2 linked regions of the Drosophila melanogaster genome follow. The protein of the gene in region 1 interacts with the protein of each later gene in a pairwise test. Each region holds a gene or a part of one and is shown in the gene's direction. Other genes may lie near its edges. The genes, in order: Syn2 and CG9626.

What was found.
Region 2: the proteins of Syn2 (region 1) and CG9626 interact in a two-hybrid assay, tested with the Drosophila melanogaster proteins (one large-scale study listed by BioGRID).

What each region holds. Positions count from the first base shown.
Region 1 is NT_033778.4:16,552,799-16,557,651, forward strand, and holds Syn2 (Syntrophin-like 2), read left to right. Parts: upstream 1-1,788; 5' UTR 1,789-1,819; coding exon 1,820-1,894; intron 1,895-1,960; coding exon 1,961-2,110; intron 2,111-2,169; coding exon 2,170-2,455; intron 2,456-2,520; coding exon 2,521-2,685; intron 2,686-2,806; coding exon 2,807-2,991; intron 2,992-3,046; coding exon 3,047-3,205; intron 3,206-3,270; coding exon 3,271-3,495; intron 3,496-3,554; coding exon 3,555-3,758; intron 3,759-3,820; coding exon 3,821-3,931; 3' UTR 3,932-4,228; downstream 4,229-4,853.
Region 2 is NT_033777.3:8,294,827-8,302,826, reverse strand, and holds the start of CG9626 (uncharacterized protein), read left to right. Parts: upstream 1-1,848; 5' UTR 1,849-1,963; exon of another isoform or gene 1,964-1,978; intron 1,979-2,083; exon of another isoform or gene 2,084-2,103; intron 2,104-2,878; 5' UTR 2,879-2,928; coding exon 2,929-3,539; intron 3,540-3,600; coding exon 3,601-3,858; intron 3,859-3,917; coding exon 3,918-4,081; intron 4,082-4,140; coding exon 4,141-4,554; intron 4,555-4,633; coding exon 4,634-4,810; intron 4,811-4,879; coding exon 4,880-5,245; intron 5,246-5,306; coding exon 5,307-5,454; intron 5,455-5,513; coding exon 5,514-5,743; intron 5,744-5,796; coding exon 5,797-6,112; intron 6,113-6,171; coding exon 6,172-6,433; intron 6,434-6,501; coding exon 6,502-6,622; intron 6,623-6,681; coding exon 6,682-8,000. Other genes in the region: nac (neuronally altered carbohydrate), read left to right, coding at 1-28; mRpL1 (mitochondrial ribosomal protein L1), read right to left, coding at 140-703, 761-1,070, 1,125-1,315.

The sequences.
Region 1 (4,853 bases):
AATCGCTGAAACTTCAGGCAAAACAGCCCGAAACGTTTCGCCTGCTGCTGCTTCTGCTGCTCTTTTCGTGGCTGTGGCACAGCTGATTGTCCAAGGCCTCACGCCGAACATGTTGGCTTGTTTGGTTTGAAGCTAAGGACCTGCACTCCTGGACACCTCCCCACCGAAAAAAAAACCAGAGTACTCTGGGCCTAGCTTCACGGTTTTACGGCTCTGAAGCACGCACCCAAAAGGGCAGCGCAGCGTGCACACGTAATAATAAAGCCATAATCAAAGGTAACCCGGGACAACGGAGCGTATGCGTGTTCCGCCAAGTCGGTGGCCTGACCAGCAGCTAATTGCTACGACACGCGGAATGCCAAGGATTCAGGAATTCATGGTCCAAATATTCGACACTTTTTGCACTCTGCGAAACTCTTGCAGGCAATATAGAACATTCTGGGTTGATAGATCTATTTTTGTATAGATTTTGGAATGTATAATTTACCTTAATTATAATTATTTTATGTTGCTTCAGTAAAATAATTCCGTTTTTATATATTTATTTTTATTATATTTTCAAAAACTCATTGTTGATGACACGTAAGCTTAGGCCTAAACATTTTATTATGATTTTATTCCTTTCATAATTTCATTAAAAATATATAATAATTTTTTTAATTAACAATAATAACAATTGAATTCACTTTGACCATGAATCAGATCGCAGAAAACGTTTAAAGCGAAAGTGTTTCCCCTCGAATTCAGAATTTCTCAATCTCAGATGGCAATTTAGCTGGCACCATATGCACATATTTGGCGCTCAAATCGAACCCTCCCCCCCCCCCCTTCAAGAACTCTCAACCCCCCCTAGGCAAAACACCTATTTATGGAGCACAAGTGGTTATCCAAAATACATATTCCACCCTCCCATTCCTGAGGAGCAGTTGCGGCCACACTTCGGCACTCAGCACCAGGGAAAACCACAAACAACGTCTGCAGATGGGGCACACTTCAATGTGTTTTCACTCATATCTAGTTTTCCGGTAGCATATTTATTTTCCACTTTAATGGAAAACATATGCCGTGGCATCAGTTCGTAGAAAACGCACTTGGCCAAGGTATGCCCATGTATCGTTTCCATCTAGATATGCCTTCTATTACATTTTGCGGCAGCCTGATTACGCTTAATTGTTTCTAATTGCATGTGTAATTTAATTAAGGCAATTGCACAGTTCACCTTGAACTATCGGCTCATCGGTGGGCCAGTGTGCAAACGTAATTCGATATGCGATGATTGCAATTGCGTTGCTTTCGCCTTACTGCTGTCTGCTCAGTGGAAAAATAAAATGGCAATCGATAAAGGCCACGGAGCCGGCTTCCCGATTTGATTGCAGTTGTTTCGCAGTCCATTGCCATGGCCACGATTATGTTTAAAAATAAAAAAAAAAAAACGAAAAGTTCTCAGAAATCGCTTGATTACACTGGGCCAACTTGATTGGCGGCCATCCGATTTGGTAACAAGGGTAGACATCCCGTTATTGCCACAAATCAGGCAACATTTCAACCTTTTCAGACCCTTTGCTCTAAATTATTCATTCCATTCAATCAATCAACGCATTTAATTTAACGCCTCTAGAAATATTGATTGAGCTTTAAGTATAGTCAAGATATCTTGAAGATACATTTTGTTATTATTATAGCAAACTAATCTCTAGAAATCTCTAGAGTTCCTGGATTTTTATTTTATTTTGGTTCATAATTCATTTTTAAATCCTATCACTTTAAGCACGTTTCCCATTTAAGATCATAAATCACACTCAAGATCCCTCTTCTCTGAATGATTTCAGGAATTATGAAGCTCTCTGACACCATGGCCACGCCTATAGAAGAAAAACTCGACCAAAACCTGAAGGTAACGCAAAGATTCTTCATATTTATAAATGTATATCTATTAAATATTAAATTATTAATATTTTAGGTGCGAACTGGAATGGTGCACGTGAGCGATGGCAAGAGCAGACCAGAACCGCTTCGACTTAATCTTACCATGGAGTTGCTTTCGCTGCAGAAGCTGGAAGTGGTAACACCAAGTAGTTGTCACCCCAATGGACCACCCATGGAATCAAAGGTATATATATATTTTCCCCTATAACATTTAACTTATTTATGAAATAATTCATCTTTCAGGAACGTATGGTTCAAATTACGCGCCAAAAACAAGGCGGCCTAGGACTGAGCATAAAAGGTGGCGCCGAGCATAAACTACCCATTTTGATATCGCGTATCTATAAGGATCAGGCTGCGGACATAACGGGCCAACTATTTGTTGGCGATGCCATCATCAAGGTCAACGGAGAATACATCACGGCATGTCCTCACGATGATGCCGTCAATATATTGAGAAACGCTGGCGATATTGTTGTGCTCACTGTTAAGCATTATCGCGCAGCCACGCCTTTCCTTCAGAAACAACGTGAGTAGCAGTGGGCTAGCATAGCACGATAAATAAGGATTGAATAACCCTCCTCAACATCCCAGTGACCAAGGACACACCCGACTCGGACAACGATGTCACATGTGCCGAACTGAAGGCTGACGAGGGCTACAAGTCATCCGTCAATAGTGGAACCATCAGTCGCAGTTGTAGTCGCCCCATGTCAATTTGCTCGGAGCCCGAGAAGCGCTGGACCGACGTGGTTGCCGGTGAGCCTTATTTATAAATAGGTTAACAAATTGTTCATTGATTATGTCCTAAGATAACAGAAATGTATCTCAAATCTTACGTACAGAAATGCTAATCAATTCATATATTTACACCTTGCAGTACCTCTAATGATGGCATATGTGACGAGGTACATCTATGGCACCGACAAGCTGCGACAAAATGCCTTCGAAGTTCGCGGTCTGAATGGAATTTCCACAGGTGTCATACACTGTGACGAACTGGCCATACTTAGTCAGTGGCTGAAATTGATAACAGACAATGTTGTGGGCCTGACGCATTTACAGGTAGGAGAGTTAAAGGCATATATATTCATAATTTAATCAATTGTGTATCCAATAGATGAAGCTATATAATAGAAACTTTGCTGTGGGCGAGCGCATTGAGTACATGGGCTGGGTGAATGAAGGTGTCATTAACAACAATATATCGTGGCAGAGCTACAAGCCCAGGTTTCTACTGCTCAAAGGCACTGAAGTGATGCTCTTTGAAACGCCACCAGTGAGTAGCAATCAATTGCGATAAGTTTCGATTATCTTAACTAATTTTTTCTATTAAATTATTAGCTAAATGTGGCTGGCATTAGTAAGGCTTTGGTGGTCTACAAGGTCTACCAGACCATGTTCCGCATTGTCAAGGAATCGGAGACCGTGGATAGTCGTCAGCATTGTTTCCTGCTGCAAAGTTCGGGTCATGAACCGCGCTATTTGAGCGTGGAAACCCGTCAGGAGCTTTTGAGAATCGAAAACAGCTGGAATGCGGCCATTGTGACAAGTGTCATCAAACTGGGCGTAGGTTTACACTTATATCGCATACCTTCACTCTCTAATTATATGTTAATTTTCCTCAGCGTAAGACCTTTGCCGTGTCGCATCATGGAAAAAGTGGTGGACTCACGCTGGACTGGCAAGCTGGTTTTTCATTAACCGAAGGAGCCGAATCCGCCACAGTTTGGCAGTATAAATTCTCCCAGCTGAGGGGCTCCAGTGATGATGGTAAATCGAAGCTGAAGTTGCATTTCCAGGATCACGATAGCCGTGCAATAGAAACCAAGGTAAGCTAAAGATACAAGTATACCATAATTTCATAATATATAAAAAGTTTAATATCCTGCAGGAGCTGGAATGCCAAGTCCTGCAAAGTCTGCTGTTCTGCATGCACGCGTTTCTTACGGCCAAGGTGGCATCGGTGGATCCAGCATTTTTGAGCTCAATCCAGCAGACTTAAATCAAAAATATTATGAGGGACAAGAATTCGCATGGACTCACACTCAAAATGATATATAATGAATATTCGTAAAGTGCATAGCAAATAATTCGAATATGAATGTTGGACTATAGGTATCGCATACATGATTGTCCGCTTGGAGTTATTATAAACGAGTACGCGCATATACATATGTATGTTGATATCTGAATGATTGTAATTGTAATTGGATACTGATATGGGTATATTTATAGCGCTGATAAAACTGAAAGTGAAATCTCTTGGTGCATTATAGTAAATTTTAAGCATACATAAGGCAATTACTTTAGGCATTTTTCCTATTACGTAGACTTGGTACTTACAAATTGACAACAAATTTATATTGTTTATAATCGATCGTTTCCGAATGTAGCCTTTAAAGTTAAATTAACCCTTAACCCTACCTACCTAACTTACGGATTGTTAAAACCACATAGGTCTGCCGATTCTGAATGTCAGAGAAATCTAATCGCTTTTTGCTATTAGCCGAAAAGATTATAATGAGTGGCCTTAAAGGCTTTAACCCGTGCTGTATCCTCTAGACATATATTTCTTCGGCGGTTTAACGAAAATTGATTGAAATATAAAAACCGTGTTTTGTGTGCGCTCTAATGAAAATTTAATTTTCGAAAAACGAATGCTTTAAGATCGGATTAATTGTTATTTTCTACTGAAGTAATAGCTGATGTCATAATAGATATATATAAAAATACCTTATAAAATAATATATATATATATAACATCCACCGAACAAATCTCAATGCACAGACGTAACATGAACTAGATTTTATAACTGTTATACATTTACTCAGAGCCAGTTAAGTGATTTCATCAGACACTCACTTAGGTCATTTGTCAATTCAGAATGTGTCTTTCGGTGGCAAGATCGTATTTGTTGCTAGCA
Region 2 (8,000 bases), on another chromosome or scaffold:
ACGCAGCACCGCCACCCAGAAGGCCTGAATGCAATTAAAAGCTGCCAAAGTAAAGTAGACTGTTTAGGACTCTAGGAGATGTAAGTTTAAAGTATGCACAAACAATCCATCAACAAAAATACATAGGCTTCTGTTTTAACTAATTGGAGGCAACTGCTTCTTGGGGTTCCGCCGGCTCTGTCTGCTTCTTGGCCCCATCCCTTTTCACCTTCGCCGTGCTCTTGTCCCACATCTCTGGAACGTAGACAAAGGGATCGATTTTCAGCTGCTCACTGCTTGGCGGGCTCTTCAGCAGGACACGTGTAATGAAACGTCCCTCGCGCTTGGGCCTCATAGTGTTAATATCCTGCAGTAGGAACTTGATGTTCTCCTCAAGCTTCTGGACATCCATGTCCAAAGTGCCCACACTGGCGGTGATCAGGCCAAAGTTTTGCTGGTACTCATCCTTGGCTGCACTGTAACTAATGCCGCTGGAGAATTTGACGATCATCTCGGCCAGGTTGGTGCCCAGCGTCTCGCTCTTTGGATTTGGGAACTTGCGTTTCATCAGGCCTCGCAGGGCCACCAGCTCGGCCAGTATATTCGGATGGGCAATGACGTACTGGTAGTCGGAGAGCAGCAGCTCGCCGCTGGTAATATCCTTAATGAGCTCCACGCCGCCGACTAGCGAGGCGCCAGCTTCCCTGGCCTCCAGGACTTCATTCTGGAAATAAATTTCAAGATGTTATTTTATGATTTTGTACTAAGAAGCTGCACTCACATTTCCCTTGGTGAAAACTATGATCTTCCGCTCCTCGCCGTGGTCAAACTTGTGTGGAATCATGGCCATGCGCTGGAAGTTATCCACAAAACGTGTGATCTTCTCCGCCTGCATGTTGAGTTCAATATCCAAATTGAGGGGAGCATTGGGTACGTTGTACATGCTGGGATGATGCGTCTCCCGATGGCACTGGATAGCTTCCTGCACCGAGTACACTGGCCAGCGGTAGTAGCGCCCCACATAGCAGTCATCTTTGGGCACCTGTTTCCAGGAGTCATCCACATGTTTGTCCGCCCGTTTCACATTGATTCTAGAGAAGAACGATAGTAAATCCGGTGTTATGGACATCGAGCTGACAACCTACTTCTTGTTGCGCTGGTTGTGCGGGATGAATCCAACCTTCTTCACTTCCACCTTGACTTTCTTCTTGCGGGCCTTCTCCCGAGTTCCTTTACGGGCCGCCTCGCTCACGGCGGAAAGATGCAGCAGGCGGAGGGGCTCCACCGTGCTCTGGCGCAGGGCCAGTGCCCTCATTGAAGACAGAATGGACTGCATTTCTTTCAGAAATATTACTATTTACTGGAATGCAAACCTCTCGCTTTGCATAACCTCGCCGGCCAGAACTGCCAACTCTTCGTCGGAAAACTACTGTTTACCACACTGTAGCTGATAAAAGCCTGACCACGAACCATGGTTGTAAACTTGGCTAATAGTAATAGCACGAATTGAAGTCAATGTTTTTAACGGGCTTTTTCAAAAACTATTTTGAGGTGCGTTTATTCGAATAATAATTTATGAGTTAGAAATTGGGTATGAACCTGTACACCCAATTTTTATCTCATAAATTGTAAAAATACATTTAATTACATAGTGATTGAATTTTAATTATTATTTTTCAATAAGAAATCCACTATAGGGCTGATTAACCCATTGATTAATTATATTCAAAGAGACCTTTGGAAATCAGCAAAGAGATCAAAACACTGCCCGTTCTCTCTATAAATAAATCTCAAAATTTTCAACTTTTCCGATGTGTTCAAAAGCGCCGTACCGCTCAGAATAGCTTCGACCGACGAACGGAACGGACGTATACGGAATTTCAAAGTCGCGGAAAATCGCGAGTATCCGTGAGGGAGAGAGAAAGAGACAGCGAGCGAGTGGCCGATGAAAATTCCGCGGCGGGTCGGACGACCGAGTGTGCAAGTAGGAAAAGTGCAAGTAATAATTTGTTATTGTTTTTCCTTTCAACAAAACACCAAAAATAGACCGACAACCTTGCGCATAAACCCATTAAACAAAAGAAGCGCAGCCAGGAAGAAAAGTCGAGCGAAGAAAAGAAAAATGTGTGTATTCAATGTGTGGCAACAGTTTCGATATAACGTTCGGAAAGTGGCGAAAGTAATGGGGGCCGCCGACTTCAGATACACATGATCTGATCCCAGCACCAGCCATCCACCCATTCACCCACCCACCCACTGATCCACCGGTCCACGTCCGTCCATCCATCCATCCAGCACATTTCTTTCGCGAGTGCGTGCACTTTCGCATAAATTGGAAATATTAATTGCGTGTAACCTAAAAGTGGAATAAAGGAAGTGTTGCGCACTTGGCGATGGGGAATCGAGAAGGGGGCCAGCGGCACATTGGGTGTGTGTGGTGGCGTAGTGCGATCGCCATGGGGAGGCAAACAAAAGAGTGTCAGCGTTTTATAAATAGTTTGGTTTGCGGCGTGCTTTTATTTGTTCTTCGGCGGGCCTCCCGACGCACGATGGCATCCAGTTGTTGAGCCAAAAGCGTAATCAAGACCCAAAACACAATAACACAGTGCATTCCGAATCGGTTCTCCGTTTCGGTTAAGTGACCACACGCGTGCATATTTTTGGGAAAGATTCAAAACTTTCGCACATGTGGGAAAACGTGCTGAAATGGGATTTTCGAAAATATTGTTTACATTTCGCGGACTTAATCGTTACACTTTAGGACTCGTTTGTATGTGTGTGTGTGTTTGTGTGTGTGTGTGTGCTTGGCGGCGGACGTTCCACATTGGTCTTCCTCTTCTATAAACAATCTCCCGATTTTGATAATTCTCGGATATTCTTTTCTTGTGTGCGTTTTTAGTGGCGAATCGGGCAGAGTAAACAAACAAGTTCCTATTGAGCGATATCGAGATGGAGTGGGACAAGCCACCTCCGCCGCCGCATCCACCGCCAAAACCCCGACGAACGCGATCCCGGCAGAATGTCCTGCACTATGAGTCCTTGCCCACCGCTCCGCCGGCGATGTGCGGTCGCACGGAAGAGAACATTTTCCAGTTTCCGGCGGTGGCCTCCCGTGCCCGCAATCTCTCCGCCTCCCCTAAATTCGAGAGGAGAGAGGCCAAGGATCTGCCCGTTTGCGAACTGGGTAAGCACTCTTGCTCCAAGTGCCAGCCCTATCGGGCGGATCGGGGCACCATCGAACCGCTGAAAACTCGCCTCAACTCGGCAATTGAAGCCATGGATGAGCTGACTCGCACGTACGCTTTGCTGGAGGGATTTCTGGAGCACCGACTAGCCACCATCACCGACAACGAGGCGGGTGAACGGGAAGCTGAGCTGACAGTTGTTGATGATGACGATGTTCCTTCCACTAGTCAAGTTGCCAATCAGCATCCACCCACCAAGCCGCCTCGCTCCAACAATACTGACCATCAGTTCGATCTGGAGCACTCCCTTACCTGGCTAGAATCTCTGATGGGCACTGAGGTGGTGCCGCCCTTCAAGCAGGGAAAGTTTAAACGGTGATTATGATTTTTTGCGTATGAATATAATTCAAAAACAAAATTACACTTTGTTATACAGTATTCGCGAGCGTAGCAAGTCCATGATGGAGGAGGACATAAACGTGTTCATGAAGGGCGATCGTCCCAGTCTAAAGCTGAGCTCCTCGCGACCATATATCCTGAGGCGTCAAAGCACCTACAGCGACAACAAGGCCAAGGTGTCCAAGTGGACCAAGGTCAAGGCCGCCTTCAAGTGGGAGCGGGCAAATGTGCCGCCTTCGGGACCAGGTGCTCTGGAAAACCACGTCTTGATGCCACTCAACCATGAGGTGGAGAGGTTTGTATTGCGGATTGTTACTCTCATTGGCGTTATTCTATTGCTTATTTATTTTTCAGATACCTCAAGGTGCCCATTAGCGCGGCAGCCGGCAGCAGTTCCGCGGACAGCATCATCAGCTCCTCCTCTGGTCATATTATGAGTGATACGGGTGGGACACCTGGTACCATCAGTTCGGCCAGCTCCATGGATGATCTTGAGGCCACCACCCGACAGAATTATCGTAATTCTCTTAATAATAATTAATTTACAGCTCGTTAGAGTAATGTCAATCCTTTCCAGGTCGTGATTCCTCTAAAAGTGATACCCGCTGCGAATCCCGCGACTCCAACTTTGAGGTGGAGTTACGAAAATCCGCTACTGACGAACGCCTGGACAATATTAAATCTTCAGCTCCGCCACTACCAATCAAATCATCATCCAGCAAGTCATTGCGAAGGTCGAAAGCCTTCTCCGACTTTGAGGTCCTGCCAGAGGATCATGTGGCGGAGATTAAGGCTACCAGCAGTCGTCGACAAAAGGTGCCACCGAGTCCACTGAATCTCAACCAGGTGAACCAGATGTATAGTGATCTGCCACAACTGCACTCTCCGCTCAAGAGTCCCAAGGATTCGCGCATGCGTCGTGTCCATTCGCCGGGGACCTCCTCGGTGCCCAGCAGTCCTTCCAGGCAATCGGATTTCTTTGGTGAATTTGGTAGGTCCAAGAGGGGATGGTTTCACTCCACAATCCCTTTGTCATAACGAAACTTCTTTAACCTTGTGGTATTTTGCAGAGAGCGAGGATCTATCCAGTGGTGATTTCTCGGAACCCACTACGCCAAACTGTAAGAATTTCCCACAGAACGCCGATGACGAGATATTTCAACATTATCAACTTCTCGTACTCAAACTAGATTCAGAGTTTAAGGGCAAGCAACTCGAGTTAGAGCGTTCCAGCGCCAGCAACCGCAGTAGGGATCCTCAAAAACATTGAAGACATATCCAATAAGCCTCTAATCAATGCTAAACCACCATTTTAGGTGTCAAACTGGGAAGTGGAGCAGCCGGAGGAGGAGCTGGTAGTGGAAAGCGCAGCAGCGAGGAGCACTCGCCCACCCAACTGTTGCACAACGAACTCATGTCCACAGCCCAGCTGGAGCAGAATCTTACCCCACAGTTCAAAAAGAAGCTAACCAAGTGGCGGGCCAAGCAGCAAAATTGCTCTGCAGGATCAATCACCTCATCAGAACCAGCAGCAAGTCCCACGGCCAAGAGCCAAAGTGGGGATGTTAAGCCCAAGATTGACTGGAATCTGTGGAGCATGGGTCAAGTGAAGTTGGAGGGCCAAGGATTGTGCGCTTTGCCTGATCAGAAGGATCTGCCCGAGAAGTTTCAGAAGAAGTTGGGTTGGTATTTGGCACGGTTTTTCCTTTTATAGTCATATTTAACAACATGCCTTGCCCACAGAGCAGTGGAATCGGTTGAAGTGCGCTCCTGGTGGCGGCACTACCTCGGACAATGACTCCCTGAAGCGAGGATCCAAGCACAGTCAGAGTACAAGAAGGGGATCCGATGACGATCGATGGTACAAGCATAGGCCGCACGAGAAAGAGAAGTTTGTAGACAGCCGAAAATCTTTCTCTTCTGAAGACTAAACCTTGAATATTTGGATAGATTGTCCCGCCTAAAGGCCATTGTGGTACCGGATCATACCAAGAAAATTGAGGTCAAGACTTCGGATGGAGAGGTGATGAAGTTTGAGGGCATCTCGAGGAAGTTCACTAGGAAGCTTTACGAGTGGGAGAAAGCTAGGGGAATCGGGCCGGAAGCATCCACGTTTGCCCTGCTGCATCCTGGTTACTGTCCCATAGATGTGAGGCGCATCAACAAGGAGTGCAATAAAGGTGGGTATGGAACTATCTGATCGATCTGAAGTTAATTCTTAACTTTTCTATAGTGGCAGCGGATCACTCCCCGACTCTCAGCCGTTCACTGTCCCTTGACAGTGTGTCACCCAACTGCAACCTGGCCCAGGCCATCTCCCAGCAGGCTTCATCCCTTTCTCTAAACGACGTCAACGATCTGAAGGAAGTCGAGGACACCGACGCCCTCACCGATCACGAGTTCAAAAAGTACGACGAGCCGGAGGCTGTGATGGTGGAGGTGGAGGAGCACATTCATGACACCGCCTCTCCACTGGTCACCGCTCACACTCTGGTGGAGCAGCAGACGCCCATATATAAGTACGAGGAGGTGCAGTGTAACGACTATGTGTAGGTGCCATTTGGAATACCCGATCCTACGTAAACTGATGGCTTCTCATTCCCTCCAGCAATTCGCGTCGCGTCCAGAGCTTTGAGTCCCACACAAATCTGGCCCCCTTGCTGGGAGCACTGAAACGTGCCGATGAGCTGTTTGGCCAACTGAAGAATGCTTCGCCCGATCTGCTAGAACACCCGTCCATGCGGGACTGCCAGGCCGCATTACTTAGCATTCGTAGCATTTATCCGTACTACTCCAACAACCTGATGAGGGCGGGCGTGCTCAACGCCATATCCGATGTCCAGAGCGAACTGGGACGACTAACCGAGCTGGTGAGATGACAATTAAAAATTTGAGTTATTTGTTTACCAATTTGTTTGCTAAATACTTATCATTTTAGAGCCAAAAATCGCCTTTGGACGAAGCCTGCTGCCAAGAAACCATGCAAGAGCGAACGCTGGAGTATCTGGAGGAACTCCAAGGACTGTATGAATGCCTGCAGTGCCTTAAGCTGAGTATACGTAAGAATTTCTTCCACTTAACCGAACCGTACCTTATTCGAATCTTAATGACTTTGTAGAGGGTGGAAGCAACCGGTATCCCCGAGACTTAGTGCCGGATATTAACATCACCAGCGAGGATGGGCAGCAGTTGGACTCCAGTTCGGCCTATGCCACCTGCGACAACTCCAGCCGGGATCGATTGGCTCAGGATGACAACAGTGCTAGTGCAGCTTCACCGATGGAGCATGAAACGGAGACTAGCACCACAACGGGCACTTTGTGCCGATCCAGTTTGCCCACCGTGAATGCCAATCCGATTGCCAATAATGGTGCAACCAGTGCAAGTGCTTCTGCTAAGAAAAAACTGCTGCGACTGCGAAAAATGGGTTCCCGGCAGAACAGCAAGACGGAGAGCGACAGCAGCGATGCGGATACCCACTCAGTTTTGGAGACACCGCGCCGATTGCGCCGCAAGAATTTCCGGCTGAAGCAGCGTTCCTTGGATGATGACTTCCGGTTGAGCTCGACGACAAATGAACATGATGTGGCTACTGCCAGAGAAGACATAGTCTACGGGTCACTGAAGGTTAAGCCAGGCGAACTCATTGAGCAGAGTCAGTGCGTGGCACCTGCTCCAGTGCACCTCGTTTTACATGATCCATCTTTATCTTCCTCCGCATCCACCACTCCTCTCACTTCAACCACTCCTTCCTCAATAGTTACTCCACCCACAAAGCTGGGAGCCTTTATTCCTCCTCCTCTGCCGGAACACAATCGAACATACAACACTAATGCCAATGTCTTCGTGAAGACCAAACGGAAACTCTTCACTACTATCCCAAAACCAAGCGCCGCGGAAGGCCTAGCTGTGATAGAAAAGGAGCTGGACAGTCCCACGGAGGAGAAATCGGAAAAGGTGGACAGACCTGGGAAGTCAAGATGCCCTCTCAAGCCCCTTAATCTGTACAAGTCCATTAGTTTGGACCGTATAACACAACCGCCCAGCAAAGAAGAACTCCGGAAATGTCAAAGTAGCGAACACTTCCGGCGGGGAATCCTATTTGTGCGACCGCCACTGGCTAGTGATAGCATCGAGAGATTGTCCAAGAAACATCAGGAGTTAAACAATCCTCCAGTTCCGCCTCGGAAAGCTCATCTTTACAAGAAAAACTCTTTGCACAAGTCACACAGTGCAAATGCGAGCAACAAGATTGAGCACAAGATAGCCAAGACTAGCTCAGGACCCAGTTTCTCCCGGGTGCATCCTCCGCCACCGTCGCCTGTTCCGCTAACTCTACCCAATAAACAAGATAACACTCTGCCACGAATCCAGCGTAAACATCCCAATACTCCAACCAAGGCCAAGCAGTTCGAGTTTCCGCCACCTCAGATTCTT